Linked DNA regions of Notamacropus eugenii. The protein of the gene in region 1 interacts with the protein of each later gene in a pairwise test. Links are inferred from orthologs where the notes say so. Each region holds a gene or a part of one and is shown in the gene's direction. Other genes may lie near its edges.

What was found.
Region 2: the proteins of DISC1 (region 1) and MLLT10 interact in a two-hybrid assay, tested with the Homo sapiens proteins (2 studies listed by BioGRID and IntAct). The link is inferred for Notamacropus eugenii from reciprocal best matches to the Homo sapiens genes DISC1 and MLLT10.
Region 3: the proteins of DISC1 (region 1) and KIFAP3 interact in a two-hybrid assay, tested with the Homo sapiens proteins (2 studies listed by BioGRID and IntAct). The link is inferred for Notamacropus eugenii from reciprocal best matches to the Homo sapiens genes DISC1 and KIFAP3.
Region 4: the proteins of DISC1 (region 1) and NUP160 interact in binary tests that used the Homo sapiens proteins (3 or more experiments, as listed by UniProt). The link is inferred for Notamacropus eugenii from reciprocal best matches to the Homo sapiens genes DISC1 and NUP160.

What each region holds. Positions count from the first base shown.
Region 1 is NC_092873.1:390,008,390-390,016,379, forward strand, and holds the start of DISC1 (disrupted in schizophrenia 1 protein), read left to right. Parts: upstream 1-4,979; 5' UTR 4,980-5,776; coding exon 5,777-5,876; intron 5,877-7,990. UniProt on the Homo sapiens protein: Involved in the regulation of multiple aspects of embryonic and adult neurogenesis. Required for neural progenitor proliferation in the ventrical/subventrical zone during embryonic brain development and in the adult dentate gyrus of the hippocampus.
Region 2 is NC_092874.1:62,279,061-62,286,003, forward strand, and holds the start of MLLT10 (protein AF-10), read left to right. Parts: upstream 1-3,931; 5' UTR 3,932-4,012; intron 4,013-4,355; exon of another isoform or gene 4,356-4,677; intron 4,678-4,831; coding exon 4,832-4,991; intron 4,992-5,350; exon of another isoform or gene 5,351-5,426; intron 5,427-5,552; exon of another isoform or gene 5,553-6,140; intron 6,141-6,890; coding exon 6,891-6,943. UniProt on the Homo sapiens protein: Probably involved in transcriptional regulation. In vitro or as fusion protein with KMT2A/MLL1 has transactivation activity. Binds to cruciform DNA.
Region 3 is NC_092873.1:476,273,343-476,280,677, forward strand, and holds the start of KIFAP3 (kinesin-associated protein 3), read left to right. Parts: upstream 1-4,330; 5' UTR 4,331-4,415; coding exon 4,416-4,495; intron 4,496-7,335. UniProt on the Homo sapiens protein: Involved in tethering the chromosomes to the spindle pole and in chromosome movement. Binds to the tail domain of the KIF3A/KIF3B heterodimer to form a heterotrimeric KIF3 complex and may regulate the membrane binding of this complex.
Region 4 is NC_092877.1:3,199,595-3,206,930, forward strand, and holds the start of NUP160 (nuclear pore complex protein Nup160), read left to right. Parts: upstream 1-4,334; 5' UTR 4,335-4,369; coding exon 4,370-4,472; intron 4,473-6,155; coding exon 6,156-6,264; intron 6,265-7,336. UniProt on the Homo sapiens protein: Functions as a component of the nuclear pore complex (NPC). Involved in poly(A)+ RNA transport.

The sequences.
Region 1 (7,990 bases):
ATAGCATTCCATTACAACCATATACCACAACTTGTTCAGCCATTCCCCAGTTGATGGGCACCTCCTCAATTTCCAGTTCTTTGCTGCTACAAAAGGAGCTGCTATAAATATTTTTTGTACAAATAGGTCATTTTTTCAGCCTTACTCTTGATACAGGAAAAAACAAATAGATGAAGAATTCCTATTGTCCAGGCTATGATATGCAGCAGGATGGATAGCCTATAGAGTTTTTCTATCAATATATGAATTTCAGGCAGACACAGGAAAAAGATAATAAATTGAGCCCAGAATTGAACAGAAGGAGAGCAGAATGGATTATCTTCAGGAAACTGGAAAGTTCTTTTAATGACCCAAAGTTTTTCCTTGAAACAAAAGCTGCCTTTTAAAACACTAATATCCTGTTGTGTAACTGCAAGTGATGGAACAATAGTGTCCAAAGAAATGATATATGGGTAAGATACGTTATGAGTGTAAGTTGTAACACACTATAATAAAGGAGTTATGATTAATAAATATACAAGATATAACCCCAAAATTGAGTTAGTACATGACAGGCACAAATGATAATTCATTAATAAGTCTATATTGATTAATTGATTGTGTTCTTTTAGTATCTTTGTGATATCAAAAAATAGCTAGGAAGACCCTGTCTGGATCTTCTGGGCAAACTTACTGGCTGAGTAGACGTTCTTAAGTGGCAGCTAGATGGCATAATAGGGCACTGAACCTGAAGTCAGCCACACCTGAGTTCAAATATGACCTCAGACACTAACTTTGTGACCTTGGACAAGTCATTTAGTCTCCATTTGCCTCTGTTTCCTCACCTGTAAGGTGGGAATGATAATAGCACCTACGGTACAGGGTGGTTGTGAGGATCAAATGAAATAATCTCTGTAAAACACCTAGTATAGTGCTTGGCACATAGCAAGTGCTATGTAAATGATTCTTCCTTTCCCCTCCTCTTTCTGCTTAAAGGAAGCTAGATAGTACATTATATGGAATGCTGGTCCTGGAGCCAGAAAGACCTGAGTTCAAATCCAGTCTCAGATACTTACTAGTTGTATGACCATGGACAAAACATTTAACCTTTCAGTTTCCTCAGTGGTAAAATAGAGATAATAATAGAACCAACCTCACAGATTTGTTGTGAAGATCAAGTGAGATAGTATTTATAAAATTAAAAAAAAACTCTTAAGAGAGTGCCTAGCATACAGGAAACACTATATAAATGCTTATTCTCTTTCCCTTCATGTGGTGAATGGGACATATAGGAGAAATGTTAGGAAAGTAAAATTGGTAGTGAGAGGATGAAGAGTCAAGGATGACACCTAGATTTTGAGTCAGGCTGACTAGTAGGATGACAGCAATAGGAAAGTTAGGGAGAGGGCATGGGAGAAGATTATGAGTTCAATTTAAGATGTCCACAGGACATCTAATTCTAGATGTTCAGTAGGCAATTGGAGAAGTTAGACTTGAGGTCAAGAGAGAGATTAGGACTGAACAAACAGATCTGAGCATCTTCACCATGGAGATGAAAACTGAATCCTTAGGAATTGATGAGATTACCAGGTGAAAATGTAGAAATGGAGAATAGCCCTAGGGGTAATCTGCTGTTGGTAGGCATGACCTGGTTGAAGATCAATTATAGTACTTGGCACACAGTAAGCCCTTAATAAATGTTTATTCATTCACTCATCAGTGGGGACTCAAGAGCTATGGTTTTGAATGAGTATTGATCTACAAAGTACCTCAGACCTGGGGTAGTTTTGGGGAGTCCATGATATTTGATTCTCAATGCAACACATGAAGTAGGTATCTCCTCCATTTTCTAGTGAAGAAACCTGAGGCTCAGATAGATGACATGATTAATTAATAGTATAGATGACATGATTTATCAATAGTTATGGAGCTGGTAAATATCAGAGGGGGGAATAAAATCTGCCTCTCCTAATTCTCATTCCTCTTCAGACTGTACTCCAGATTTCTTCTACTATTCTAAAACCTCACCATATCCCAGTTCTTCATCCATGAATCTTCACTGTAGCCTTGGAATTCACATATTGGAAGTACCCTCTACTCCTGTGGCTTCTTCCTCCTCTCATTGGATGGCTCCTCTTAGAACCTCTATTTAAGGAAGGCACTCAGGCCACTGATGTCTCATTCCTCTCTAGGTTTTGCTTAGGACTTTCTCTACTATGCCTCCCTCATGAGGTACCTTTTTCTCCTTCCAGCCCCTTTTCAACTTCCTTTTATGCATTGTCTTCTCTCATCAGAATGTAAGCTCCTTGAGGGTAAACGCTGCCTTTCTTTCTATTTCTATTCTCAGCACTTAGCACCGTGGTTGGCACATAATAAGTATTTAATAAATGGTAGTGGATTGACTGATACCAAGTCTAGTCTTCTCACTACACTAAATTGATTCCCTAGAAAGGCAAATATGTCTTGATAAGATCATTCAGATATTATTTGATGTTGCATTCTACCAGGGTGATGTTTCTGATATTCTTCTCCATCCCTGTAGGGACATATTTGGAAACTCCAGATGTCATATTCTAAATATTGCAGCCAGATGAATCTTTTAAAATCATGCCATGCTTCTGGACCAAAGAGAATGCAACACTTCTTTATATGAATAGAGTGCCATGCACATATCCATGAACACTGATTTTGATCATGATTAATTTCTATCTCTTGCTCAAAAACTTCTTATGGCTAATTGATACCTATAGGACAGGATTCAAGCTCCTAAACCTGGCATTCTGGATGTCACTATCTGAACCTTTCCAACCTTATCTACTAAGAGTCTTCCTTCTTGAACACTGAAATCTAGCTAAACCTTGGTATCTACAGAACTTCTAGTTTACCTTATTGATCCTTGTCTCAGCATGAGGTAGTTAGGCCACTACCATTCTCCAACATGAGTAAAGTGGTACATGGAAGGAAAGGAAGATCAGATACATTCATGCTGTTTATCCCCCCTAAAATGACCTTTCTCTTCCTCTCCATCCAGCTAAATCCTTTCCATTTTTCAGGCTTCAGCTTAAATCCTATCTTCTTTGTGAAGTCTTTCCTATACACAAGTGAACTTTCTTTCCCCTGAATTTTGTATACTTTTTAAATCCATACCACTTATTTGCTGAGACCTAATCACCCATTGCTTCCTTTTATTATTTCTTCCTGTGTCTAAGATCCTATTTTTTTTGACTGCCTTATATTGAACTTGTAAAGGTCGAAAACAGAGATGTCAAAAACATGGCCCATAGTATTCCTGGGTGCAGCTAAGCCAAATTAAAATGTAATTGGAAAATATTTAGCAAAATAAATAAAAATACAACAGACAACAACTAAGTCAATATGTGGTTGAGGAGATTCTTATGTATGGTTTAGTGACTGCCATTTTTTTTTTGAGTTGGACACCATTGCTTTAAAACCTTCAAATCTTTTTATATCGTTACAGCCAATGTTTTCTACTCATTCTTGTTATATTTTCCTTAATTGGAGTCAGCCCATTACTCTATCTTATTGAAACCTTTTTGATTTTTTTTTTGTCTTTTGACATGTTGGTTGTTGCTTTCTTTGACATGTCACCTGCAAATTTTACAAACATGTTATCTATACCTTCCTCCATGTCATTGATTAGAATGTTGAACAGCACAAAGCCAAGGACAGATTCCTTAGGATCTTCATTTGAGATCTCCCTCCAAGGTGGCATAGACATCCCCATCAATACTTTTGGGATCTGGTCAACTAGGTCTGAAATCACCTAACTGCCTTATCACTTGATCCATGTCTTTATGTGCTCCACTGCCTATAAGCGCACTTAAATGTTTGTTGAAGGAACAAATAAACAACCCCTAGGATGAGTATTCTGTTAGCCTAGGAGCTTAAGGAGAGGTCAAAGACATCTGGGGTAGTGACAGACCCACTGCAATGGCATTAGGAAATTGATGAGAATTCAGATGCCTGAATTTTGTTTAGGTTACTTTGATTGTAGGGTTGCTACTACCTATGCTCCCATTTTTTCCATTCTACCTTCTTCTGCCCATCTTGCCATTATCTTGTCACTATTTCCTTTTTCTACCTGGAACAGCACACTCTTTGGAAAAGAGACCAAATGTCCTTTTTAGGTGAGTTAACCCATTCAGCTTTGGAGCTCCATCCTGGGGTTCAGCTCTTGGTTTTCAAGTAACTACATCTAGCAGTCTCAAATTCACCCAAATCAGACATCTTGGAACATTTTGCCATTTCTTTTCCTGGGAATAGTGATCAAATCAGTACTATCAGTGCTTCTAGGAAAAGACAGGGCCATCCATTACTCATCATTCTTTATCTTTTCAAAATTTTTTTATTTATTTCCTTTCATAGTTCCCAATTACATTAAAATTTTTAAACATTCATTTTAAAAAATTTTGAATTCCAAATCCTCTTCTTCCCTTTGGTCCCTCCCTCACCCTCTGAGAAGGCAAGCAATATAGCAATTATACATGTGAAGTCATGCAAAACATATTTCCGTGTTAGCCATACTGCAAAAGAAAATACACACACACACACACAAATTAAGTGAAAAAATCTGCTTCAATCTGCACTCAGAATTCTTCAGTTCTCTCTAAGGAGATGGATAGCATTTTTCATCATGAGTCCTTTGGAAACCACTCTTTATTCTTGTGGCTTCTCAGACAAAAACTTCCTTCTTTGGTTATGACTCTCCTATATGTGTTGCTCCACACTGTTATAAAATAAGCTATTTGAGGACAGAAGCAGTTTTACTTTTGTATTTGAATCACTAGTACCTAAAGATGGGTATTAGGCTCTAGTGAACTACCAAGTAAGGAAGGTGAGGAAAGTCCCTCTACTAATGCAGGTCAACACCTCTTCTGCAATTTACTGTCTTAGGCTCTTTGTGATGCTCTTTGGAGTTTTCTTGGCAAAGACACTGGCCTGATTTGCCATTGCCTCCTCCAGCTGAATTTACAGATGAGGGTAAAAGCAAACAGGGTTATGTGACTTGCCCAAGGTCACACAACTAGTAAGTGTAGGAGGCCAGATTGAACTCAGGAAGATTTCTCCTGACTCCAGGCTGGGCACTCTATCACTGCCCCACCTTCCACTACTCTAACCAGTAGGCTATAGCTGGCACATTGCTGGTCTTAATATCAAGTTGTTGTTGTTTTCATTCAGTTAGTCATTCTTTTCCTCGAAATTTCCTCCCACTCTACTCCACCTCACACGCCTATGTTTTTACCCTTCCCAAAATTTGGAAGCTGGGGGATTCCCTTTTATTTTCCATACCATACTCTTCATATTCTTTCATCCTTAAATTCTATATCCTCGTTCTCTCATCCAAGCTCTTCTCTTCCAAGGTTCAGAGCTGGGATTTAGTAAAAGCAGAAACCAAACTTTCGGCAAGCCTGGGGCCCCCACCACCGAAGTTGGGGAAGCTCAAGGGGGGTGCTGGAGGTGCTTAGAGAGCTCGGAAATCTCACAGAAATCACGGTCCTGGAGAAGGAAGCAGTCTCCTTGCTGACCCCCATCCCCTTCTTCTCACAACTCCTCTCCCAGCTCTCGTTTCATGCCTCTCTGACTGAAGGGCCAGGCCCGGGTGTCCCCAGGGGAGTAGACCGTGCAGACAGCGCCGGAGAAACGGAGGGAGAGAAGAGGAGGAGGAGCCCCGCGTGGCTGGAGCCCCCCCCCTCCCCGCCCCCGGCTTCCCACTCCCCGAGCTCTGGCGGGCGTGGAGAGGAAGCAACGGGGGTAGCAGAGCTCGTAGGGAGGATCGATGCTGGGCAGGGGGCAGCGGGGTGCCCCGGCCGCCTGGGGCGAGCGCCCTGAGCAACTGAGGGGCAGCGGCAGAAGCAACAGCGGGGGTCAGAGCCCTGGTAAGAGACCTCCACAGCCACCCAGGACAGCACTTCGAGCAGGGTCCCTCCAGCTTCTCCCACTCCTCTCCCCTCCCCTGGACGGGCAAGGGTGGGGTGGGGGTCGGGCTGGAGCTTTCACCACGGTTCTTCGGAGAGGGATTCGAGCGGAGCGGGGAACTGAAACCGCCTAGCAGTTTGGGGGCTGGGTGGGTGTGGAGAAGTAACTGACATCCAGGAAGTGGCAAAGGTAACAATGGCAACTTCTACCGCCCCGTTACAGCGGGGAGAAACTGAGGCACAGAGCGTGCGGGGGCCGTGCCTAGAGACAAACAGGGTCACGGCTGGGAGTGCGCGCCTGTCCCTCTGCGGGTGCCCAGCACCGAAGCTCCTTTCCCTAACGAGTACGCGCTTATTTTCTTATTTGGTTTAAGAACCAGAGAAGGAGGGCACTCTGCCTGCGCGCTGGTAGGCGTTTTGTAAGTCAGCGTGGTTTGGGATCGGGGCTGGACCGAGTCCCAGCCTGCAGCGCTCCCAGTCCGCGGGTGGGTGTGTGGCTTTTCGTGTTAACCCGGGAACTGCTTCGCTTTGTTTTCGTTTAGATCAATTGCAGGAAACTGACTGGACAAGAGCCCTTCTCTGTGCATTGACCCCCTCCCTAACTTCCCTGTGTTGGCGGCCGCTGACGTGGGGGCAGGGCACGCTGGACTTAAGAGCACGGTAGTGCTAGGAAGGAGGTGGGAGGTTCCCCAACTTCTGTCGGATCAGCAAGAGCAGTTCTTAACCATGCTTCGATTTCTGGGGCCCCATCCCTACCGACTAGTCATGACGTGAGGCTCGGGAAATGAGGAGAATGGAAGAGGGAAGGTTAGAAAGGAGGTGATGAGAAGATTGAGAGAATGTAGTCCCGCTACCGACCCCAGACCCGGGCAACGTAAACAGTTTCATGGGGTGCCACATCTGATTTAACAGCACTACATACCGCTTACCAAGGTTCGCTGCAGGGGTCCCCGACAGGTGGTAAGAATAAACTCTTAGCGGCAGTGCTGATACTAGATTCATTAAAGGTAGACTATTCTGAAGAATTCAATTAACTCAATTCATTTCCTTCTGAAAGTGTCTGCAAAGGAATTCAAAAGTTTCATATGATGCTAAAGTGGGTTATGGTTATACTACCCTACAACAAACCCTCCGTCTTGACTCAGAGTTTTCTCTGGCTTTTCTACAGGCCTGGAATGCCCCCACTCCTCACCTCTGGCTTCCCTGGTTTCTTTTGAGTCCCACCTTGTGCAAGAAGCCTTTTCCAATTCTCCCCAAACTTAGGGAATTTCTACTGAGACTATTCCCAATTTATCCTATATTTATATATATTTTTTCATATGTATATATATATCTATCTCATGTTTGCACACTGTTTTATGCATGTTGTCTCACCCATCAGATTGTGAGTTTCTTGAGAGCAGGGACTGATTTTTGCCTTTCTTTTTATCCCCAGAGCTTAGTACAATGCCTGGCACATAAAAGAGCTTAATAAATGCTAGTTGACTGACATTCGAAAAAATAAATAGTGCAAGGCCAGTTCAATTTATTGAAAAGCCTAGATGATGGAATGTTGGAAATAACAATCATTTTAAGGTTCACAAAGCACTTTACATACATTTTCTCATTTGATCCTCACAACAATCCTGTGGGATTATTATTCTCATTTTATTGATGAGGACCTTGAGATTCAGAGAAGTTTGCTGACTTGGTAGGATTTCAATTCAGAACAGCTCACTTGTCCAGTTATTCCTCTAAACTAAGAGATGCTTGAATATTAGGCATCTAAAGCAACTGAGGAACCCAGTCTTAGTGATTAATATAGATTCTTCAAAGAAAAGAAACTGCAACATATCACAGAATGCTCTAAAAACCTAGCACTTAGTAAATATTTTAGAAACCGATAGGGCAGAAAGGCATTACAGATATGACTGTGCTTGTCACAGAGAGGAAATGACAGTTCCTGGTTTGGTTTGGAGAAGCAACTCAATAAAAATATTTAGAAATGAAAGGAGCAAGTTAATTGTAATCTTACAAGTTGTTTTTCCCCCAGTATGCTTGAAATGATCTTGTTGACTCTTTTTGTTTGAAAAATA
Region 2 (6,943 bases), on another chromosome or scaffold:
CTAACACATAGTGAAGGGTTCAAATTTTTATCCAGGTTATGTGAGAGAGAAAAGAATATGAAAATAGGCTTCTGATTTACTCCCTGTATTGGTAATTAATTACGTAGTATTTGATAGAAAAATGGAACTAGTCAATATAACCCCATTATCAGAAATCAGATTCAAATGCAACAGCCCCAATTCTACTCTCATATTTGTCTAATCAAACTTTCCAAGTGAATATTAGTCTCTGATTTTAAGAAAGTATTTCATTTAAATTGCATGTAATTTAAATTTTCCCATTTGCTAACTGGAGATTTCCTGGGATTAACACAATAATATTCACTGTGACGGTTTGAAGTTTGGAGGTCTTTTGTAACATAATTACCATTTATAGACAAAAAAAGTGTTTAGCATTTGAGGACTGTTTAAGTGTAGAGAATTACAAATCACCTGGCAAATAAAAATCCTTCCTATCATCTCAAACAGTAGAGAATCTCTAAAGAAATTAATTGTCCATCAGGAATTTTCATTTTAATAGTCTCTTTAATTAGAAATTTTAGTTTAATATTGTTCTTAGAAAACTAAATATTACTTCACACTTAACATTAAATCTGGACCTGAAATTAAAATTTAAATATCAACGTTGTTTCTTCATTCAGTAAATGTTTATTGAGAGCCTACTATGTGCCAGGCACTTGAAGGCTACTTAGTAAGTCTGTTACTCTTTCTTAAATGGAATTTGCCAAAAGCCAAGAAAGGTGATACCCCAATTATAAAAACCCCATTGAAATAATTACTTTAAGACACCACTTAGGACATTGGGAATACTATAATAATATACATGTGGCACATATGTGTGTATCTAAAGAGATACACATTATAAGATATGAATATCTGTAGATAGAGCAAATATAGCATGCCAAAATAACGTGTAAGTTGCTCGGTTTAAAGTTATTTTACCCAAACTGGCATAAATAAATGTGTTCTTATCAAGTCTCTAGATAAAAGGTCTGGATTCTTGAAGACCAAATAGGTAGAAAAACAAAACAAAACCCCCCCGAAACCCCTTTCTAATTAAGGAACCACGTTGTGGTAGGAATTGTCTGTAAGTATAGCCTGTTATGTAAAGCAGAACTGGCTTTTCCTAACTGAAGTTTTCTAACTTCAGTAATGTGAAGCAAGACTAAGTAAGGTTATGTGGCTACATGAACTCTATTATTGATTATGTCTAGAAATAATTGCTGGATCTGAGCCAGTATACCATTTAAAACACCATTTGCAGAGGTCAAAACATGACTTAAGAAAATACATTGTAAAAAGTGACCATGTGGCTTATTCTCTCTTAGTTTTATACACATATTTGATTAAAATGTATTTTGATTAGGGTTGTTACAGTGTCTACCAACAAGATATTCAAGAGTGATTTATTTTAAAGGGATAAACGTGAACAATATTAACCTCTTTCTATAGTAATTATTTTCTAAATATTTCCTTCTGAGTATACATTTTTAAAAAGTAATATAAAATGTAGGCCCATACACAAGGAAATCAACAAAACAGTTAAGAAATAAAACAAAGAAAAAATTTTAAGACCTACTTCCCATAGAAAAAACATTGTTCATATTTTTCATTATGCTTAGGTCACAGGTCAAATCATAAAATATTTTCCTTGAGCTTCTTATGGTGTTCATCAGATGATTAGCTCACAGGAATAGCTGAGCTATCAGTGATGTAACTGCTGTTACATCAAGAGGAATATTAGGGAATCTAGGCTTTAGTCTTACTCAGCAAGTACTAGATGTATTTTTCAACATATTTTGAGAAGGTTGGACAGATTAGAAGAGAAGATATCTAGCAAAAATGTACCACTGTGTTAAGAAATTTCAAATTTTATTTTCATTAAATTAATCAAGGAATTCTATTTTGATTATTTTCATCACTCTCACTTTTTTTTTGCACAAAAAGATTTTAAAAATCCCTCCCAGACAAAAACAGCGCAATTGATCTTTAAACATTTTTAGAACTAAAGTATAATGTTCAATTATTTAGAAGTACAAGAACTACTATAGTGTGCAACATTTTATAAATTGTTTTGAATTGCATAAAGGAAAAATGTTAGTGTATGAATTGTATCATGAAGATTTTTAATATTCTTCCTATTTACTTTTTAGAAAACTTAAGTAACATGCTTCTGATATGTAACTTGTAAGAAAAAGTTTTATATATGGCTAACAAGTTCATATTCATGTAGATTCACTAGATTTTCTTCTGATTATCACAATTCTAATTATACATGGAGGTATTAAATTACTTTCAGAGATGATTTTTCTCTATGAAAAATTGACTTTCCATATCAATGCTTAAAGAAAGTATATTATTGACAAAAGTTCATTTTCAGATTTTGTTGCTTGTTTCCTTTTTTTGAGGTAATGTATTCTTATTTTGTTTTTATTTCAAAGGTTTCCTCCAAATGATTGTTTTATGCATCTATCAAGAGGTTTCCTAAATTTTGCTACCAAATATTACAGATTACTACTGTAAGGTAGTGATCATGGAATCCTTTTGTTCATATAAATTAATTCCATCAAAAGAACTAAGCTGCAATCCATTAAAAATAAAACAAATGTATTATTAAATAATTTAGTGCATTAAGACTTGACTGCATTTTTGAAGAAGGGAAGTTTCACATTGATCTTAACTCAGAAATACTGCACATTAGGAGTCTGAGCAGCAATTGGGTATTGAACTGGTATTCCATTGTATTACTATAGGGATAAAGTATACAGTTAAATGGAATATATGAAGCAATGTGATTTTACCTGAATTCAGTTTTCAGTTTTATACATACCAATGAATTTAGCACATAGCTATGATATGTTCAGAGTATCATTTATGACTCTCCCAAAAGGAAGCGGCCACATTGTACATATAAACATTCATATACTGCAATAAAATTTTCTAAATTTATTAATGTTTCTAAGGAGAAAACATTTTCTTTAGAGCATCTGGTCAATTTCAATTTTCTTCTTATAGTCTATTAGATTTTAGTGAGTTTCTATGCTCTTTTTTTTAAACCATATTGTTACACATGTGTATGTATGAGCATTATAATTCTATTGTGAATTTCTAATGAATTAGTGAAATTGTTTCCATTCTTCTCTGGGTTACAAAAATATTTGGATTGCTTTTGAAATTAAAGATGTTTCTTTTGTGAAGAGAGGAATAGGTAGAAGTAGGGCTTCTTCATCTTTTTTACTTCAAATTACATTTTTTCCTAATCATTGCTATTTCCATTCTGTCATTCTGCCATGAATACCAACTCTGCACCTGCGATTTGCAAGTTACTAAACCCAAACTGCAAACTTGCTTTGCACCCATGCCTGCTGTTTTAAATAAACAGTATCAACGGATACATTCTAATTTCAGGGGAAAATTATGTGACTGGCTGACTTAGGGAGAAGGAAAGTATATGAAACTAGTCTCTTTATGACACTGATCTCATTTCCAATCGAATGCTGTGCTCCCACGGAGTGAATTTCACAGCTTGGAAGTGCTGCGTCCTGTTATGCTAATTACACAACCTAGGTCCATTTCATTTTTGTTTATATGCACGTAACAAGACAGCTCCCTCCCTTCAGTCTACTTAAATAATACCAAAATTCCAGGGTGCACTTGGAGTCAAACATGCACTCCGGTACGTCTTGGGGCTCAGGCCATGAAGCCAGGGCTGGGCCAGGCGTTCTCCCCAGCCCCTCCATGTGCAACAGTAACACATGGCTTTGGCCTTCGAGATGAAGACGTAGGAGCGTTCGTTTGTCACCGCAGCCGGCGCGTCTGCGTCGCCGGGCTGGCTAGCCCTTCTCTCCACGTGGTCTGCTAACTTTGCGCGGTTCCCTAAGGGGACCGAGGCGGCTCGAGGGGCTGCAGCAGGGCGGAGAAGCTGGCAGAACCCCGGGCGAGGAGCCGCGCGTCCTTCCTGAGGAAGGCCCGGGCTCTCCACTGAGCGAGTGCTCCGGGAGGGCTGCGTCAGGTAGACCGAAGGAGGGCGAGGCCACGGAGGTCACTTTCACCCACATTTCGCCGACATCAGCCGCTGCCCTCATCTCTCCCGCAACGGCCGCATGGGCGAGCTTGCAGGCCGAGAAAGCGGGAGGCTGACCCGACGCCCCTTTCGTGCGCGTGCGCGTGCACGGCGCGGCGCGCTCCTGCCGAGGCTCTCCGTGATCCCGGCTCCCTCCCATCCCCCTCTCCCGCTTCACCCTCAGGGATAGGAATGGGGGAAGGGAAGAAGAACCCTGGGAGGGGAGGGAAGAAGGAAGCCGCGGCGTCGTGCCGGGGGCGCGCACGTCCTGCTTCCCCACCCCCTCCCCTTTCCTCTTCCTCCTGGGGGCTGAGGCGGGCGCGCACGCCGGATGACGCTAAGGAGGAAGCGAGCTCCCTCTCTCCCCTCCCAGGCTCCCCGCTGCCCCGCGGGAGCCCCCCAGTGCGCCTGTGCGGAGGCCTAGTTGCTATGTGTGTCCTCTCCAGGTTCCTGTGTTAGCATCCCGGGTGGAGGTGGGGAGGGGAGAGAAGGAGAGGAGGAGGAGAAGGAGGAGGCGAGGAGGGGGTGGGGAGGGGGGAGGGGGGTAGGGAGTCAGCACGGACATGGCTCCTGACTCCAGTGCAGAACGTGAGTGACTGAGCAGCGAAGCCCGAGTGAGCGAACGAGGAGCGGCGGGCGGGCGTGCGGGCTCGGGCCGGGGGAGGCCGGGGGGCGGCGGGAGGGGAGGGCGGCGGGGAGGCTCGAGGGGAGGCGGGGGTCCTCGTGAGCTCCCTGCCCCCTCAATGGTCTTTCTCCCCTCCCCCGCAGATGGTCTCTAGCGACCGGCCCGTGTCACTGGAGGACGAGGGCTCCCATAGTATGAAGGAGATGATTGGAGGCTGCTGCGTTTGCTCAGACGAGAGAGGCTGGGCCGAGAACCCGCTGGTTTACTGCGACGGGCACGGCTGCAGCGTCGCCGTGCACCAAGGTAAACACCCCGCCAACCGCCCGCCCGCCGGGCCTCCCCCAACCGCCGCCCCGCGCCCCGCCCGCGGCCCCCCCCGCGGCGCGCCCCGGCCCGGGGGCGGGGGAGCGGTGCGTGTGGCCGCGCCGGCAGGGGGCGGGGAGCCCCTCGGGCTGCGGGCGCCCCGCGGCCGGGCAGGGGCGGGGGGCGGGGGCCCTCCGCGCGCCCCTCCTCTCGGGCGCTCTTCCCGCCCCTCTGCCTCTGGCTGGCTGGCTGGCAGGAGCTCGGCAGACTTCCCGGGCTGCTGGCGAGCGGGGGTGGCCGGGCCGCCGGAGGTTCCCGGGGAAGCAGGCTGCGGCGGCGCCCGCGGCGCGGCCGGGGCCGCTCGGGCTCGGGGCGCGGCGCGCTGCGGGCGGCCCCCCGCGCGGAGCTCCGACTGGTGACCGGCTCGGGGCGACTGTGAGTCGGGGGGTCCCGCGGCGGGGGGCGCACGTGGGGAGGCTGTCATCCGCGGGGCTTTGCGGGGTGAAGAAGTCGGGCAGAACCGGCGCGCCTCCGCGGCCCCCCGGAGCGCCTGGCGCTGCCGGGTCCTGGGAAGCCTCGGGCAGGCGGAGCCCGGAGCTGGGAGACGGGCGGAGGGCGGAGGGCGGAGCGGGCGCGCCGGCCGGCGGAGCCGGGGGGCCGTGCCGGGGGCCGTGGGGGGCGAGGGTGACGTGGCCGCTGGAAGGCATCGCGCAGGCCTGCTTCCCGAGCCCGGGCGCGGGTCTCTAACCCTCCGCTGGACTAGCTGGGGAGACGTGGCTGACGCTCTCCGGGTCCGTGTGGCGAGCCGGCCGGCCGGACCGTCATGCCCTGTAACTTAGTGCTGACATTCCCCCGGGATCCGGACGCCCAGAGCGGCGCTGTGGGTAGAGCGGGGCAGCGCTCGCGGCGTGGAGGCCAGCGGTCCTGGTTCTCGGGTGGCCGGTCGGTGTCGTCCAGCGTCCGCGAGGTCCGCGAGCGTGTGAGGCTAGGCGGAGGGCAGAGCTGGGGGCCTGGAGCTGTAGCACGAGGGCATGACGTGTGGGCACAAACGTTGGTAGAAAAGACTTGTCAGGCGCTAGCCACCGGGAAGCCGTTCCTTTGGGGTGTGCAGTACGATCTGCCTTCCCCAGCTGCAGTTTGGGGGCTGAGGTGAGGGCTTAGAGGGGACTGCACACCTGCTGGGTTCTTTGTACTCTTTTTCTGATCTCCTAATACTGCCTATAGCTTTGAATCTGAGATTTATGGTCAGGTTTGTTAGTAATTTCGTTAAAATCCTGTAGTTGAAATTTCAAGTCAGGTTATGACTAAACTAGTTTAAATATGTACATATGCATTTAGAAATAACGATAGAACGATAGTATTTCAGAGCACTATCTGTTTTCAGGCGGTTAGAGGCATTGGAGCCAACCTTGTGTTTCCATTTACATATTTAAAGTTAGGATTAAATAATATTTTAGCATGACACTAATTTTTTCCTTTTGTCATGTCAGCTCAGTTTTAAAAGGTGTTTTGAAAATCTTCATTTAATTAAAGTGTAATGTGCAGTGCTTGCTGTGACTTAAGTTTATGCCAGAATGAGAGGATGAAGTTCTGAATTTTTGTTCCACGGAAAAATCTCATGAATTGTGTTAACTTTGACCTCTTGGTCTTTCCTTTGCAACGAGCTATTTAACAGGAGTGACTTGTTTGGCACTGATTAAAAAGCAATGTTATGTTTAAAATTTTAAGTAAAAACATACTTTGTTTTTCTTGTTAACTGGAAAATTTCAAATCACCATTTGTGTATTCTGTTGAGTAAAGGAGAAAAAATTTTGAAAGGATTTTGATTTTCTATGACTTTTGAGATTTATATGTATGTGTGTGTGTGTGTTAAAAACCATTTTATTTTTATTCTAACAGCTTGCTATGGCATTGTTCAAGTACCCACTGGACCTTGGTTTTGCAGGAAATGT
Region 3 (7,335 bases), about 86 Mb from region 1:
TTTGGTAATACAAAGAAAACCACCTCTGTCAAATGCATTAATGTGTCTCTCCAAAGACAGTCTTTTCATTTAGCTGCAACTTCCTATCTACTTTACTATCTTTTATAGTAAGATTGTCAATATTGATGAGTCAGTTCCTCTAGGAGTATGTCAGCCCATTGGTAAATGAACATGGTGAGTCATCCCAGATTCACCTTGTCTGATTTTAACAAAGTTAATAAGCTAATAGAGTAAGGGAAATCTGTAGACATAGATTACCTAGATTTCAGCTAGCATTTTACAGAGCCTCTCATTCTATCTTTGTAGACAAGATAGAGATATGAGCTAGAGTTCATCATAGTCAGTTAGATACAGAATTGGTTGAATTAGTTGGGATGAAAGAGGAACCATCGATGTTTCAATGTCACCTTGGAGGGAGACATCTGATAAAATGACATGTAAATCTGTGCAAGGTCTTATGTTGGACAATGTTTTCATCATTGACTGGAATGAAGACACAGACACATATCAAGTTTTTTAATGACACAAAACTGAGATGGATAGAAGATCCAAAATTAGCTCAACAGTTTAGAATGCTAAGCCAAATATAATACAATAAAATTTAATGAGATATTTCTATACTTGAGATGCAAAGAATCAGTTTTAAATTTTAAAATTAGAATTAACTAAGACAGGAGAAATGACTAGAAATTAGTTCATTTTACAAGGAACTGGGGGGTTTTAGTAGAATGCAAGCTCAGTACCAGTTAGTGGTATGATATGTTAGTCAAAAAAAGCCTAAGGAATTTTAGTTTACATTAAGAGTGGCATAGCATACAGGACTAGCAAGGTGACAGTCTCACTGTGCTTTACCCTAGTTAGAATTCACCTAGAGTACTGTGTTCAGTTCTAGGTGCCATATTTTAGGAAGTGCATTGACAAACTAAAGTTTATCCAGAGAAGAATCATCAGGAAGTTCAATTCTTTTAAGGACAAGTTGAATGAAATGAGGGTACTTAATATGGAGAAGAGAAGACAGAATGCACCGATTATTTTCAGATATTTGAAGAACTGTCATTAGATTTGTTTTTATTTGTCCTCTAGGGTAAAACTAGGAATAATGCGTAGGAGTTGCAAAAAAAAAAAAAAGAAAGGCAGGCAGGCAGGCAGGCAGGAGGGAAGGAAGGAAGGAAGGAAGGAAGGAAGGAAGGAAGGAAGGAAGGAAGGAAGGAAGGAAGGAAGGAAGGAAGGAAGGAAGGATAGGAAAGGAAAGGAAAGGAAAGGAAAGGAAAGGAAAGGAAGGAAGGAAGAGAGGAAAATGCCCAGAAGAGACTATAAACCAGGTGGCACTCATGATACCAACAAAGTGATGCCCAAAAGAAAGAAAAGAGAGCAATATGATGGCATCACCAGAGAACAGCAGTAGCCTTGTATTATCAGGCGTTAAACTGAACACATACAAATCCTAGCCACATACTTTCCCTTACAAGTATGCTCTCCCATGTCTGAGATCTATAAATGTCCATTTTTCCTGTTGATGGTGAGTATATTTGAGGGAGAATGTGCTCCAATTTTAGAGGAGGATAATTCCATACCTTCTTTTCTTATTATGTTATTTTATTAAATACTTTTGCTTTGATCAAAATATGTCCCATTAGTTATAGCTCATGGAGTGGTTGCTATTCCATGAAAGTACCTAGAGTCAGGATATACTGGACAATACTTGTGAGCAAATGTACCCTCTAAGTGATAAATTAGTATCCAATATTTCTCTTGCCTCCCCCGTCTTAGCTATCATGATTCTTTGGGATAAGGTATATTCCTCCATAGCTTTATTCCAGTTATAGATCTCATTCCACCAATTCTTGGTGATACTTATGAGGTCAAAAATGACACCTTGAGCATGAACATCAATGGGGAATGGCTGAACAAGTTGTTGTATATAATTGTAATGGAATATTATTGTGTTATAAGAATGATGATTAGGATCATTTCAGAAAAACCTGGAAAGGACTTATATGAATTGATGCAAAGTGAAGTGAGCAGAACCAGGAGAACCTTGTACCCAGTAACAGCAATATTATACAATAAACATCTATGAATGACTTAGCTATTTTCAGCAATGCAATGATTCAACACAATCTCAAAGGACTCGTGATGCTGCTTCCAAAAAAAGAACTGATGACACCTAATAAAAACTAAAGCATACTATTTTTCTCTTTCTTTCTTCCTCTTTAGTTAGAGTTTCCTTCCACAAGGCTGTTGTGATGAAAGTTGTAACTATTTCAAGTACCCCAGCAAGATGATCTCTATCTGCAGAAATGAAGAGAAGTAGTGGAAGAGAGCGGAATCCAAACTAGATTTAGAGTCAGGACACTTGGATTTTAATCCCAACCACACATACTACCCACATGACCCTGGGATATTAACCTCCTCTCTCTGGAGCCCAATATTCTCATTGTAAAAAGAAAAGCTTGGACTAAAATGATCTCCAATGTTCCTTCTGGTCTTGTAACCCATAATAGGACAAGTACATGCTCCTCAGTGACCAAATAACATAATACCTGCTTCCAGTGGACATTTCTGTCAACAGCCAAGATCAGTGTCAACTGTCACTCTCTTCCAGCTTTAAAATTACATGATTCTGTAACTTGCTGCTACAAAACCATTTTCCATATTCAGTTGGTCCTGTTCTGAAATGAAGAATTTTGGCAATCAACGTGCTCCCTCTAGCTCCAAATTCACTGAATATTTCAAACCCCGAAATGAAATTTTCTGACAGCATGATAGAGATGAGCCGATAAGTTGAACAAAAATTGTTCACCATATAAGAACATGCTAGAAGGTAAGCACAGCTGAAAGTATCACTGCATTATCCAGGAGACAACAAACACACAAATACATACACATATAGATACAACACACATATTCCTATGTATGTGTGTATATAAACATATATGTGTGTGTATGCATATATACATATATGTGTATATACATACACATATAAAACTAACCATGTGTTGGACAATGAATATTGCTGGAAAAAAATATAGAAACAATGATATGATTAGTAATGAAGCTAACATAATGTTGGGCTTCATTATTAAAAGTAAAAATGAAGGAAGTGAAAATATTACGTTTAGTCTGGGAGCCATTTTTAAAGGAGAGATCATTGGTGTATGAGAATGAGTAGGTGAACTTTATAGCTTGATATAAGGTAACATTTCCTAAGAACTAGATCTGTCCAGAAGTTGAATAAGCTACCTTGGGAAGTGGTGGGTCTCCTTTGGTGGAAATTTTCAGACAAAAGCTGCATGACTACTTTGGGTTATTTTAGAGGAGATTCTTACCCAGGAACTGCTTAGAATAGACGTCCATGAAGGTTCATTTTAACTCTAAATTTTTTTGTTCTATGATTCTAATCTCCTCACTTTCATATTCTTTGCCTTATCCACCTTATATAACATTGCCAAACTGATCTTCCTAACGAATAGACCTGATCACATTTCTCTTTCACAAAACCTTCTATAGTTTCCCATAGATTCCCATCTATAAATTTCAAACTGCTTATTCTAGAATTCATGACCCTCCATAACCCTGCTCCAACCTACATTCTTGTTCTTACCTTGCTATTCATCTCATTCAAATGTCCTCTACTCCAACTAACTGGGGATGGTTATAGTCCCTTGAATATAGCCTGATGTATCTAGCACTTGTGACTATTGTTCAAAGTATTTCTTGTGATGAGAATGTCCTCTCTCCCTTAAATCTGTCAGTTGAAATTCCGTTTTTCCTTTAAGGTCCAGCTCAGATATCACTTTATCTAGGTATTCTTCCTTGGGCTCCCTCAGTTAGATGTAACCCATCTCTCCTGTGAACTTTCATAGTCTCTGTTTTCTACTCCTTTTACTGATTTTTTGTATATACTTCTTCTATACAGCCTACATTTAGAATATAAATTCCTCAAGGGCAGAGACTTGCGTATCATTATGTGTCTTTGTGTCCACCGTGACTCCTTGGGAAGTGACTTTCACATAGTAGAAATACAATCAATAAATATCTGTCCAACTGAAATGAAACATATATTTGGATAACAACTACATCATTATTAAACACATTTGAGTGAGATACATCACACTGCTTTATCTCACTGGATTCTCAAAACATAATTTGGGCCCCAAAAAGAATGAGAAAGGAGAAACGTAAAGAGATCGAATGCCATTGTCATAGTGGGACTTTGTCTCCCTCTTCATCCAGAGCTTACTGGGAGTGTGATGATGTCATAGTTGTTGCCCTCTCTGTCACGCCAGCTGTAAACAAGGCGGGGTGGGGGGAGGTCATCAGGGAGCAGATTTCTTTGAAATGCCTTTTCAACTGAAGACTCCTTTGCAGTAAGGTGTGCAATGTGAGCTCAGGTTAACTTGAAAGGTGGGAAGATGACTGCATTAATAGGCAGTGGAAGCGGGCTCTTTGGGCCTCAGTGGCCCTTTGATGACATCCCAAAGGCCGTAACCAGGTAAGGAAGGCTCGTGAGAAAGCAGAGGCTATTGATGTTGAAAGGTTCTGAGTGTGTTTGAAGGACTGGTTCTTCTGTTATCTTAAGCCTCAGATGCTTCCCAGGCACCTGTAGTTTTCAGACAGCAGAATGTAAACTCATTGAGGACTTTTTGTTTTCTTGTCTAAGCACTCACGTACTGAAGGCCCTCAATGAAGGCGTGTTGAATTGAAGTAAATTGAATTTCTCTTTAAGCTCAAGTTATCTGTCCCATGAGGAAATAATTGACGAGTCAATTAAAATACTTTTTTATTATGTCTTTTCATTGTTACTTAACACACAGACACACACACACAGAGTCTATATCTATACCAAAAAAATTTAATTTCACCTCACTAGACGTGTCAGCAAATTGTTCTTTCTTGTCCTATACGTCTTCTGTCTTCCGTGATACTGTCAAGTCTTCACTTTCCAATCGCCTAGTTGCTCTTGATTTTCTTGTAGTTTATAACACTTCTAGGGCAGCTAGGTGGTGCCATAGCGCATCAAGAGCCAGGCTTGAGTCAAGAAGACTCTTCTTCCTGAGATCAAATTGGGCTTCAGATACTTAGTAGCTGTGGGACTCTGGACAAGTCATTTAACCCTGTTGGCCTCAAGGTCTTCATCTGTAAAATGAGCTGGAGAAGAAAATGGCAAACCACTCCAGTATGTTTTCCAAGAAAACCCCCAATGGGTCAGACATAATTGAGAAAACTGACAACAGCAACAATGTAACATCTCTAAATGGATCTTGTGTCAATTTCTGATCCCTGGGACAACATCTGGTCATGGCTCTCAAGTCTCTTTCACCAGTTAAATAACCCCATCCTTTTTATATGTTCTGATATTCAATCCTTCCCCATTTCTTTTCCTACCTACCCTCCACATTTTCCCAACCACATTAACCTTCTTGCTGCCCTTTATACTTTGGTCTTCCTTTTCCATCTCTTCATTTTGAACAAGACTGCCCAAAGGGCACAGAATAGGGTATTTATTTCCATCCTCTTTAAGGAAGGAGTTCACTCCTATCCTTTAAATCACTGCAAAAGTTTTCCAAAAGTAACAGCAAGCAGTCTTCAGTCATCAATACAATTCTTAACTCTCCTCTGGGATGTTCTTGAAATTAGTGTATTTATATACACTTAGGCTGATCGCACGTTTGTCACGTAAGCTTCCTGAAGAGTAGGGACTGTATCTAATTTTTGTTATATATCCCAAAGCACCTAAGGCTACCAGTACCCTGCATCCTGTGAATATTTACTGACTGACTTAACTGAGTTGTTGAGATCAAAAGAATGGGGATGTTAAAGGAGCTCAGAACTAAGACTACAGAATAATTATAGCTTAATTTCATTGTAAAGTACTAAAGGACAGGAACTATGCCTGTTTCAGCTTACTTGGGTTTTGTGCCCAGTGAGTCATATGGGTATTTACAAAAAATTATTTGACTATGAAAACATATAATTTATATAAAAAGAAAGTAAAAATTTTACCCACTCTCTCTGCCAGTTCCTTTTCAGAGATGTCATTCTTCTCTTGTGATTATCAACCTAGACAAACTTACATATAATTTCTCTCTGTCTCTCTCCCTCTCTCAAATTGATTTCCATGATGACTAGATAAAATTAAAACTTCACAAATACTTTTATTTGTAAGCGTATTTTCCCACAGCCTCTCTAACAATAGTCATTTTCCTTTCTTGTCTTTTTTGCCAATCCGAAGGGTTGGAGATAGGATCTCAAAGTTACTTTAACTTGAATTTACTTTATTAAGTGATTTCAGGAATTTTATTCATGTAATTATTGATAACTTGGATTTATTCTTTTGAAAACTGTCTATAGCTTTTAACCATTTATTTATTGGGAGATGGGTGCTGTTCTTAGGAATAAATATCTTGAATATGAGACCTGTATCAGGGAAATTTCCTGCGAAGATTTGTCCTTATTTAACTGTTTTCTTTCTGATCCTATCTGCACGGGTTTTGTTGTGCAAAACCTTTTAAATTTTCCATAATCAAAATTGTCCACTTTTTCTTTTGACATCTTTGTCCCTTGCTTGGTCATGATCTTTCTCTCTCCCATAGGCCCAACCCAACAGGAAATTTCTTCCTTGCTCCTCTCAATTTGTTTATAATGTTAAGCTTATGTCTAAGTCATATTCATTAGGAGCTTATCTTGGTTACATGGTGTAAGATGTTGGTCAATGTCTAATTTTTGCTAAACAGTTCATATTTTTCCAGTAGGTTTTTTTTTTCCTTCTTTTCAAATAGTGAATCCTTTCCCCAGCATCTAGTCCTTGGATTTATCAAACTCTATGGTACTGTGTTCATTTGCTTCCATATGTTGTATGCCCAATCTGTTCCACTAATCAGTGAACATTTATTAAGTGCCTATTTTGTATCTCCTAGTTTTTAAACCTTTACCAAATAATTTTGATGATTACAGATTTGTAGTTTAATTCCATCTTGAGGAAAGAGGAAAAGCTTTTCCTTGTAATTGCATGTAATTTTGTTTAATGCTAATCTCCCTTACTTCCCACTTTTTTTATTACTTCCTTTGAGATTCTTGCCTTTTTATTCCTCCAGATAAATTGTTGTTTTTTTCTATGTTTATAAACACACACACGCAGCTATATCACAGGTTTTTAATTCTTTCTTATAATCATCCTTACATTCTTCATGTCATGCTCCTCCCTCTGATGTTGGAGTTTTTAAATTTGTTTTGGGGGGGCGGAGCCAAGATGGCGGAGTAGAAAGACGCACATACACATAGCTCTGAACCCACAACCCATAGAATGGCTACAGGGAAGTAACTCACGGCGAA
Region 4 (7,336 bases), on another chromosome or scaffold:
TAAGAATCCTCTAAGGACAGTTTCTTCCGCATTCTGAAAGGATTTCTCCCCAAAACCTCCATCTGAGGAAGTGTTCACACCAGCCACGCTCTCAAGCAGCCTCAGACTCTCTGGACAACTTCTCCACCTTGTACAGAAACTCCATTTCCCCCCTGTTGGCATTTTCCCTCAATTTCCCATATGCATGGGATGCTCTCCCTCCTCATCTCTACCTCTTTGTTTCCCTGGCTTTCTTAAGTACCAGCTAACTGGAAACTGCAGGGATACCTACCAACTGGGAACTGGCTGAACAAGTTGTGGTTTATGATTGTGATGGACTATTACTGTGCTACAAGAAAGAAGGAGCTCAATGATCTTAGAAAAACATGGAAAGACTTGCATAAAATAATGGAAAGTGAAAGGAGTAGAACCAAGAGGATATTGTCTATAGGAAAAGCAACATTGTTTTAAGAACAGCTTTAAGTGAATAAGTCATCTTGACTGTGATAAATATCCAAATTAGCGCTAGAGGATACATGAAGAAAGATACTATCTACATCCAGAGAAAGAACTGATAAATAAAAGTATGTATAGAAAAATTTTACATATATGTATATGTATATATACATATATACCTATTTGTGTCTAATGGTAGCCATCCTTAGGGCAAAGAGGGAGGGAGGGAAGGAAAAGAAGAAAAAAGAAATTTACCTAACTTTATTCTAAATTTAAAAGGAACAACAAGCCATGCATAACAGAGCTGCAGTTTCATGGGCAATCATCTTTTTATTATGCTGTGTTACATAAATGCTTTTTATTCCATAAATTAAAAAGTGTGAAAAAGTAAAAGCCCCGCTTTTCCGCTCCCCCATCTTTCATTCATCCTATATGGAGCTTATTTCCACATAGCAGTTGGCATCCCATCATGAGCAGGGGCTGTCTTGTCTTTCTTCGAATTCCCAGCACTTAGCAAGGCGCCTGGCATGCAGCAGGTGATTAACTTTCTGACTGTTTCGGCTTGTGTTTGCCTTCCCAGCGTAGTCCCTAGCACATCAATAATGGGCTTCATAAGTGATTTTGCTAATCCAGTGTAATTATTAGGGGACTGGTTAGAGGAAAGAAGCCTTTTGGCCTTTGGATGGCTAGGGGAGGAATACAAGCAGTTTTAATAAATAGACAATAAAATCCTATTGTTCTAGGACAGGGTTCCCCACCCCTGTTCTATGATGTTGATCCCCAAACTGTATTCTATCATGCAGGATGTTTAACATATAACTTTAATAGCTTAAAAGTGTACTAAGATTTTGGGACACCAAGTATTATGAGCTTTTCCTTGTTCAAAACTCGTTACTTCAAATTGTTTTGGGATAGAGATTCTCTATACAGCCTGTTTGTACGTTTGTTGTCTGTCCCATTAGACTAAGCTTTCTGTGGGTAGGCATTGTCTTTGACTTCTTTGTATCCTCAGCTCTTAGTGTAGTGCCTGATATTTAGAAGGAGGGTCATAAATACCAATTGATCAAAAACCTCAAAATGGATCGGATCAAATGTTAAAGAAATGCTATTACTAACCATCTACAATTCAAGGAACCCAAAGTCCTGTATTCATTTCATTACCACAGAGGAATTAAATTCAAAAGAAGCTTGCATTAAGCTCCTGTTGTCTACACTTTGCTGGGCTGAGAGAAATAACAAGTTTAAAAAATCCCTGCCCCAGTGGAGTGTATTGTAAAATCTTACTAAGGAGCTTATTTCCTTCCATGGAGGCTTATCCTTCTTTCACTAACCACCTTCCCCTCCAGACCTCACAAGCACTGTACTTACTATACAATATTCTACATATCATAAATGAGCAATGGTTCCACCAGTACTCTGGAACCTCCCAAACACTGAGCTAGCTCTGGTAATGTGTGCTTTTGCTCCTTGTGCTAATTTTGGCCTAACAACCAACACCAAGAAAACACAAGTACTCCATCAGCCAGCACCATACCACCCATAGGTGGAATCATCGGCTACAGCAAATGGAGTTTTGAATGATGTGGATAAATAAGTTTGATTACCTTGTCAATATACTTTCTAGGGATGTACACATTGACACTGAAGTTGACACACCCATTGCCAGAGCTAGCTCAGAGTTCGAAAGGCTGTATTACCAAGCACCCTAGCATATCCAGAATGACCTGCTAGCACAGGTTCTTTGATATGCTTTATACAGGAAAGACAGCTTTAACAATCTTTCTTTAATTAAGCATATATGTCATTCACTAGTTCAGGGGAAAGGTTAGCACCCTGAATGTGGAGAAAATACAGAGTAAGTATAAGCAGAGAATTAGCACAAAGATTCAACAGACACAGTTCTCTCTGTCTGAACAAAGTAAGACAACCACCTACATACACCACCAGATGGGTGAACACAAACCTTTGAGTAGTCCATGGGTTCTTAACAAACAGCTACTCAGTCCCGTCCAAAGAATCCAAAGGTCCTTCTATAAACTAACCCCCCCCCCCCACAAAAATACCAACCTCCCAGTTTATATAGTTTTCAACTAATAAGCTCAGAGCCAGCAGGCATCACAACCCATGTAACTCAGCACAGCTGTGAACTAGAGGGGTTCAAAGGAGATTGAGCATTCAGATGTTCTCAATTTAGCCTGAGCCTAGGAAACTGAACTCCAAAAAGAAAACAACAAAAATCCTACTTTGCTTGCTCTTACAGGGGCTCCAAAGGAAAGTGTGAGAGAGGAGAAGTATTCATTGTAGATCAGACTGAAGGTCTACAGAGCCATTATACCAGTGCCATGCCAGGAAACTGAATTGCTTCGATTTGAATTGTCTTAGGTTCTGAAGATCACCTCGGTGGGATAAGGTACCAGACACCAAGGTCCTTTTTCAAACTAAACTACCAAAGATTCAAATGTACCGCAGAGAGCACAACTATGATGGACTGACCACGTTGTTCAAATGCCAAAATTCTATTTTACAGAGAACTCACACAGGGCAAGCTCTTACACGGAGGTCAGAAGGACGCTCTCAAGATGTCTCTGAAGAACTTTGGAATTGCTTATATGACTACGAGATGCTGACACAGGACCACCCAGCATGGTGTGCCCTCATCAGAGGTTCTAGGCACTTTGAGCAAAGCAGAATTGAAGCAGCCCAAAAGAAACTGGAGATGCAAACTCAAGAACCCAGTCCAAATGTTCCTATGTGTGTCCCACCTGCGCTAGGGCATTCGGAGCTCATATGAGTCTGATCAGACACATTTGGATACATTGTAACCTGACTAAGGTTACAACCAAACAGCTTTGATTTACATAGTGTATAGCATAGCACCTCCCCTGGCCCCGTAGAGTGCTCTGCATACAGCTGGCATTCCATAAACGTCTGTTTCAGAATAATACCGAGCACCCAAGGAAAGCCCCTAAAACAGACACACGTGTAAAAAGTAGCCATAAAGACCAAGAGAATGCACAGAGAAGAAAATTATGAAGTCTGAAAAGAACCCCTAAAAAATGATCACTTTCCAATTTTCTCTCAAGAAGTCAAGAAGCATTTATGAAGAGCCTACGAGGTGCTAAGCCCTGAGGATACAAAGGTCAGAGACAGTCAATCTTCCCACACCTTCCTCCTCCATCCAGAGACCAGACAAGACCCAGCATTTTCTCTGGCCGGCCCCACTTCCTCCAGGACGCCCCCCTGGGGAGCGTCTGCCGTTCGTGCTCAGTCATACCCCACTCCTTGCGACCTCATTTGGGGTTTTCCTGAGAGATTCTGCAGGGGTTGGCCATTTTCTTCTCCAGCTCATTGGACAGCTGGGAAACTGAGGCAAGCAGGGTGAAGCGACTCGCCCAGGGTCACGCAGCTAATCGTCTGAAGCGGAACTGGAACTCAGGTCCTCCCGACTCCAGGAGGGCGCTATGCCCTGGGCCCGCCGGCGGCGCCCGGATTCACCTCCCACCGCTGGGGCTAAGCACGTGTGGGACCGTGGGCAAGTCACTTAACTTCGCTGGCCCTGAGCTTCTGCATCTGTAAAGTGAGACTGCGGCGGCTACGCGGCCTGTCGGGTCCGGGTAGCTCTAAGTCTGCCATAATGCGCCTCAGCTTCCTGCCCTCCCGCCCTACCAAGACGCAGCACCACCCCCATCAGTTCTGCGCCTGCGCAAGGAAATGCCCCAGCTCCGGCCCCGCCCCCTGGGGAGGCCGGCGGAAATGGCCTCGAGAGAGGCTCTGGCCGGGGACGCGAAGCTCCATCCTTTCCTGCGCCCCGCCGGGCCCGCCAGGCGCCGAGTCTGGCCGAGCTCGAGGCTTCGCAGGGCCTCGCGGCGCCGCCGGAAGTGACGCCAGGCCGAGGGGTGGGCCCGCGCGTCCCGTCGGGCCTTGCGGCGGCGGGATGATGGCGGCGGCGGGAGCGTTAGAGAAGAGTTTCGTGGAGCTGTGCGGCGCCGAGCGGGAGACACAGCGGCGCTTCCGGGACTTCACCGTCTGCGGCTCCGGTACTGGGCGAGCCCCGGGACCCCGGCCCTCTCCGTGCCTCAGTGTCCCCGTGCGTGCCGGGGGGCTTGGGCCCAGGCACCGGAGCGGGCCGCGCTGTGACAGCCCGGGCTGTGAGAGGCCTGGACCGGCTGTGCTGAGGCCCCGCGCCGCTGGGGGGCCGCGTTCTAGGCCCCCCCCCCCCCCCGCGCCCCTCAGGGGCCGCGTTCTAAGGCCCCCCCCCCCGCGCTCCTCAGGGGCTGCGTTCTAAGGCCCCCCCCACCCCTCAGGGGCCGCGTTCTAGGCCCCCCCCACCCCTCAGGGGCCGCGTTCTAAGGCCCCCCCCCCCGCGCCCCTCAGGGGCCGCGTTCTAGGCCCCCCCCCCGCGCCGCTGGGGGGCCGCGTTCTAAGGCCCCCCCGCGCCCCTCAGGGGCCGCGTTCTAAGGCCCCCCCCCCCCCCGCGCTCCTCAGGGGCTGCGTTCTAAGGCCCCCCCCACCCCTCAGGGGCCGCGTTCTAAGGCCCCCCCCCCCCGCGCTCCTCAGGGGCTGCGTTCTAAGGCCCCCCCCCACCCCTCAGGGGCCGCGTTCTAGGCCCCCCCCCCCCCCGCCCCTCAGGGGCTGCGTTCTAAGGGCCCCCCCCCCCCCCCCCCCCCCCCGCTCCTCAGGGGCCGCGTTTTAGGGCCCCCCTGCCCCTCACCTTCTATGTTCTAAGGCCCTCCAGCCCCTAGGGGCCAGTGCTCCAGTCCTCTCCCACCCCTCAGGGGCTGCGTTCTAAATCTCCAGCTCCTTCAGTCCACGTTCTAAAGTTTCCCCTACCGTGACATTCGATATTCCAAGAAACCTTCCAGCTCTAACATTCTGCGTTCTGAAGCCCTCTCCAGCTCTGATGTTCTAGGCTCTAAAGTCGCCTGACATTCAGTGCTTCAGAGTCCCTTCCAGCTCTAACATTCTGCGTTCCGAAGCCCTCTCCAGCTCTGATGTTCTAGGCTCTAAAGTCGCCTGACATTCAGTGCTTCAGAGTCCCTTCCAGCTCTAACATTCTGCGTTCTGAAGCCCTCTCCAGCTCTGATGTTCTAGGCTCTAAAGTCGCCTGACATTCAGTGCTTCAGAGTCCCTTCCAGCTCTAACATTCTGCGTTCTGAAGCCCTCTCCAGCTCTGATGTTCTAGGCTCTAAAGTCGCCTGACATTCAGTGCTTCAGAGTCCCTTCCAGCTCTAACATTCTGCGTTCTGAAGCCCTCTCCAGCTCTGATGTTCTAGGCTCTAAAGTCGCCTGACATTCAGTGCTTCAGAGTCCCTTCCAGCTCTAACATTCTGCGTTCTGAAGCCCTCTCCAGCTCTGATGTTCTAGGCTCTAAAGTCGCCTGACATTCAGTGCTTCAGAGTCCCTTCAGCTCTAACATTCTGCGTTCTGAAGCCCTCTCCAGCTCTGATGTTCTAGGCTCTAAAGTCGCCTGACATTCAGTGCTTCAGAGTCCCTTCCAGCTCTAACATTCTGCGTTCTGAAGCCCTCTCCAGCTCTGATGTTCTAGGCTCTAAAGTCGCCTGACATTCAGTGCTTCAGAGTCCCTTCCAGCTCTAACATTCTGCGTTCCAAAGCCCTCTCCAGCTCTGATGTTCTAGGCTCTAAGGTCACCTGACACTCAGTGCTTCAGAGTCCCTTCCAGCTCTGACATGTGCTGAACTGCCCCGATGTTCCCTTTGCAGAACTCGTGGGTTTGTCCGGAGCTGTGAAGTATGTGGAGAGCGCGGGCGGCTTCTACTACTTGGAAAGCAGCAAGTTGTTCTCCGTCACCAGAAACAGGTTCATTCATTGGTGAGTGTTACAGAAGGAAGGAGGTCTGGGCCATGTACTCTAGTATGAGGGGATGATCGTACCTAAGGGAATAATGGTTTGTGAGAATAGGAAGAGACTTTAAAAAAATCTGATTTCTAGGTTATATGGAGAACAAATGTAACAACAAGAAATTCTGGATTTTGGTCCCATTATTTAACATCTCTGGAACTCAGTTTCCACATCTGTAAAATGAGGGTGTTGGACTATATAATCTCTAATGAATGACCTTTCTCACCATAAAGTTATGGTCCCAGGCAGTAGGAAATAAAAATGACCGACATTAAATATGTTGTACTCTACAGTAACATAGAACATGGTGATAGGTTCTGGGGAAAATATCCATAGTTAAGATATTAATCTTTCCTCACAAAGTTTACAGTCTAATATAGGTCTGTTTGCAGTCCATCAAAAGATTTCAGGCAGCCCTCGAAAAATGTAGAATTGTCACTGCACACTCTCCTGTTTGTCGTATGACTCGCAGCAACCAACCATCATGGATCTGTCTCTAGTATGAACCTATCTGTGACTAGAAGAAGTTGAGCCTATTTTAATTTTGGCCCCTACCTACTGCCAAGTTGTGCAGTCTGGTCTAGTAGGAACCTAAGAAAGACACCTTAGAATACAGTCTTCCATGGTAGGTGCATTAGCTCTGCTCTGAGAAGTTCCAAGTGAGATGTGAAGGTGACAATCATTCTGTACCAGGTCTTGATCAGGGAAGACTTCCTCAAGGAAGTCATCAGGTGGAGCTGTAAGGGGTGGGCGGAAATGCAGCAGATAAAGGAGAGGAAAAACATAGCAATTTGGGGAATAGCCTATAAAGCCATTAAGGTATGAAAACTTGTGCTTGGAGATAGAATAAAAATTAAAAGTCTGGCTGGGGAAGGGGATGGGTATTATAGGAAACTGGAAAGTCTGTGGAGGGCCTTGAATGTCGGGCAGCAAACTTTGAACTATGAAGCCATGAAAGATTTGTGAGCAGGTCTATTGTATAGGTCAGCTTTTAGATGCAGAGGAAAGGTGGCCTGAGTGGAGCCCTGGGAAACCCATGAGC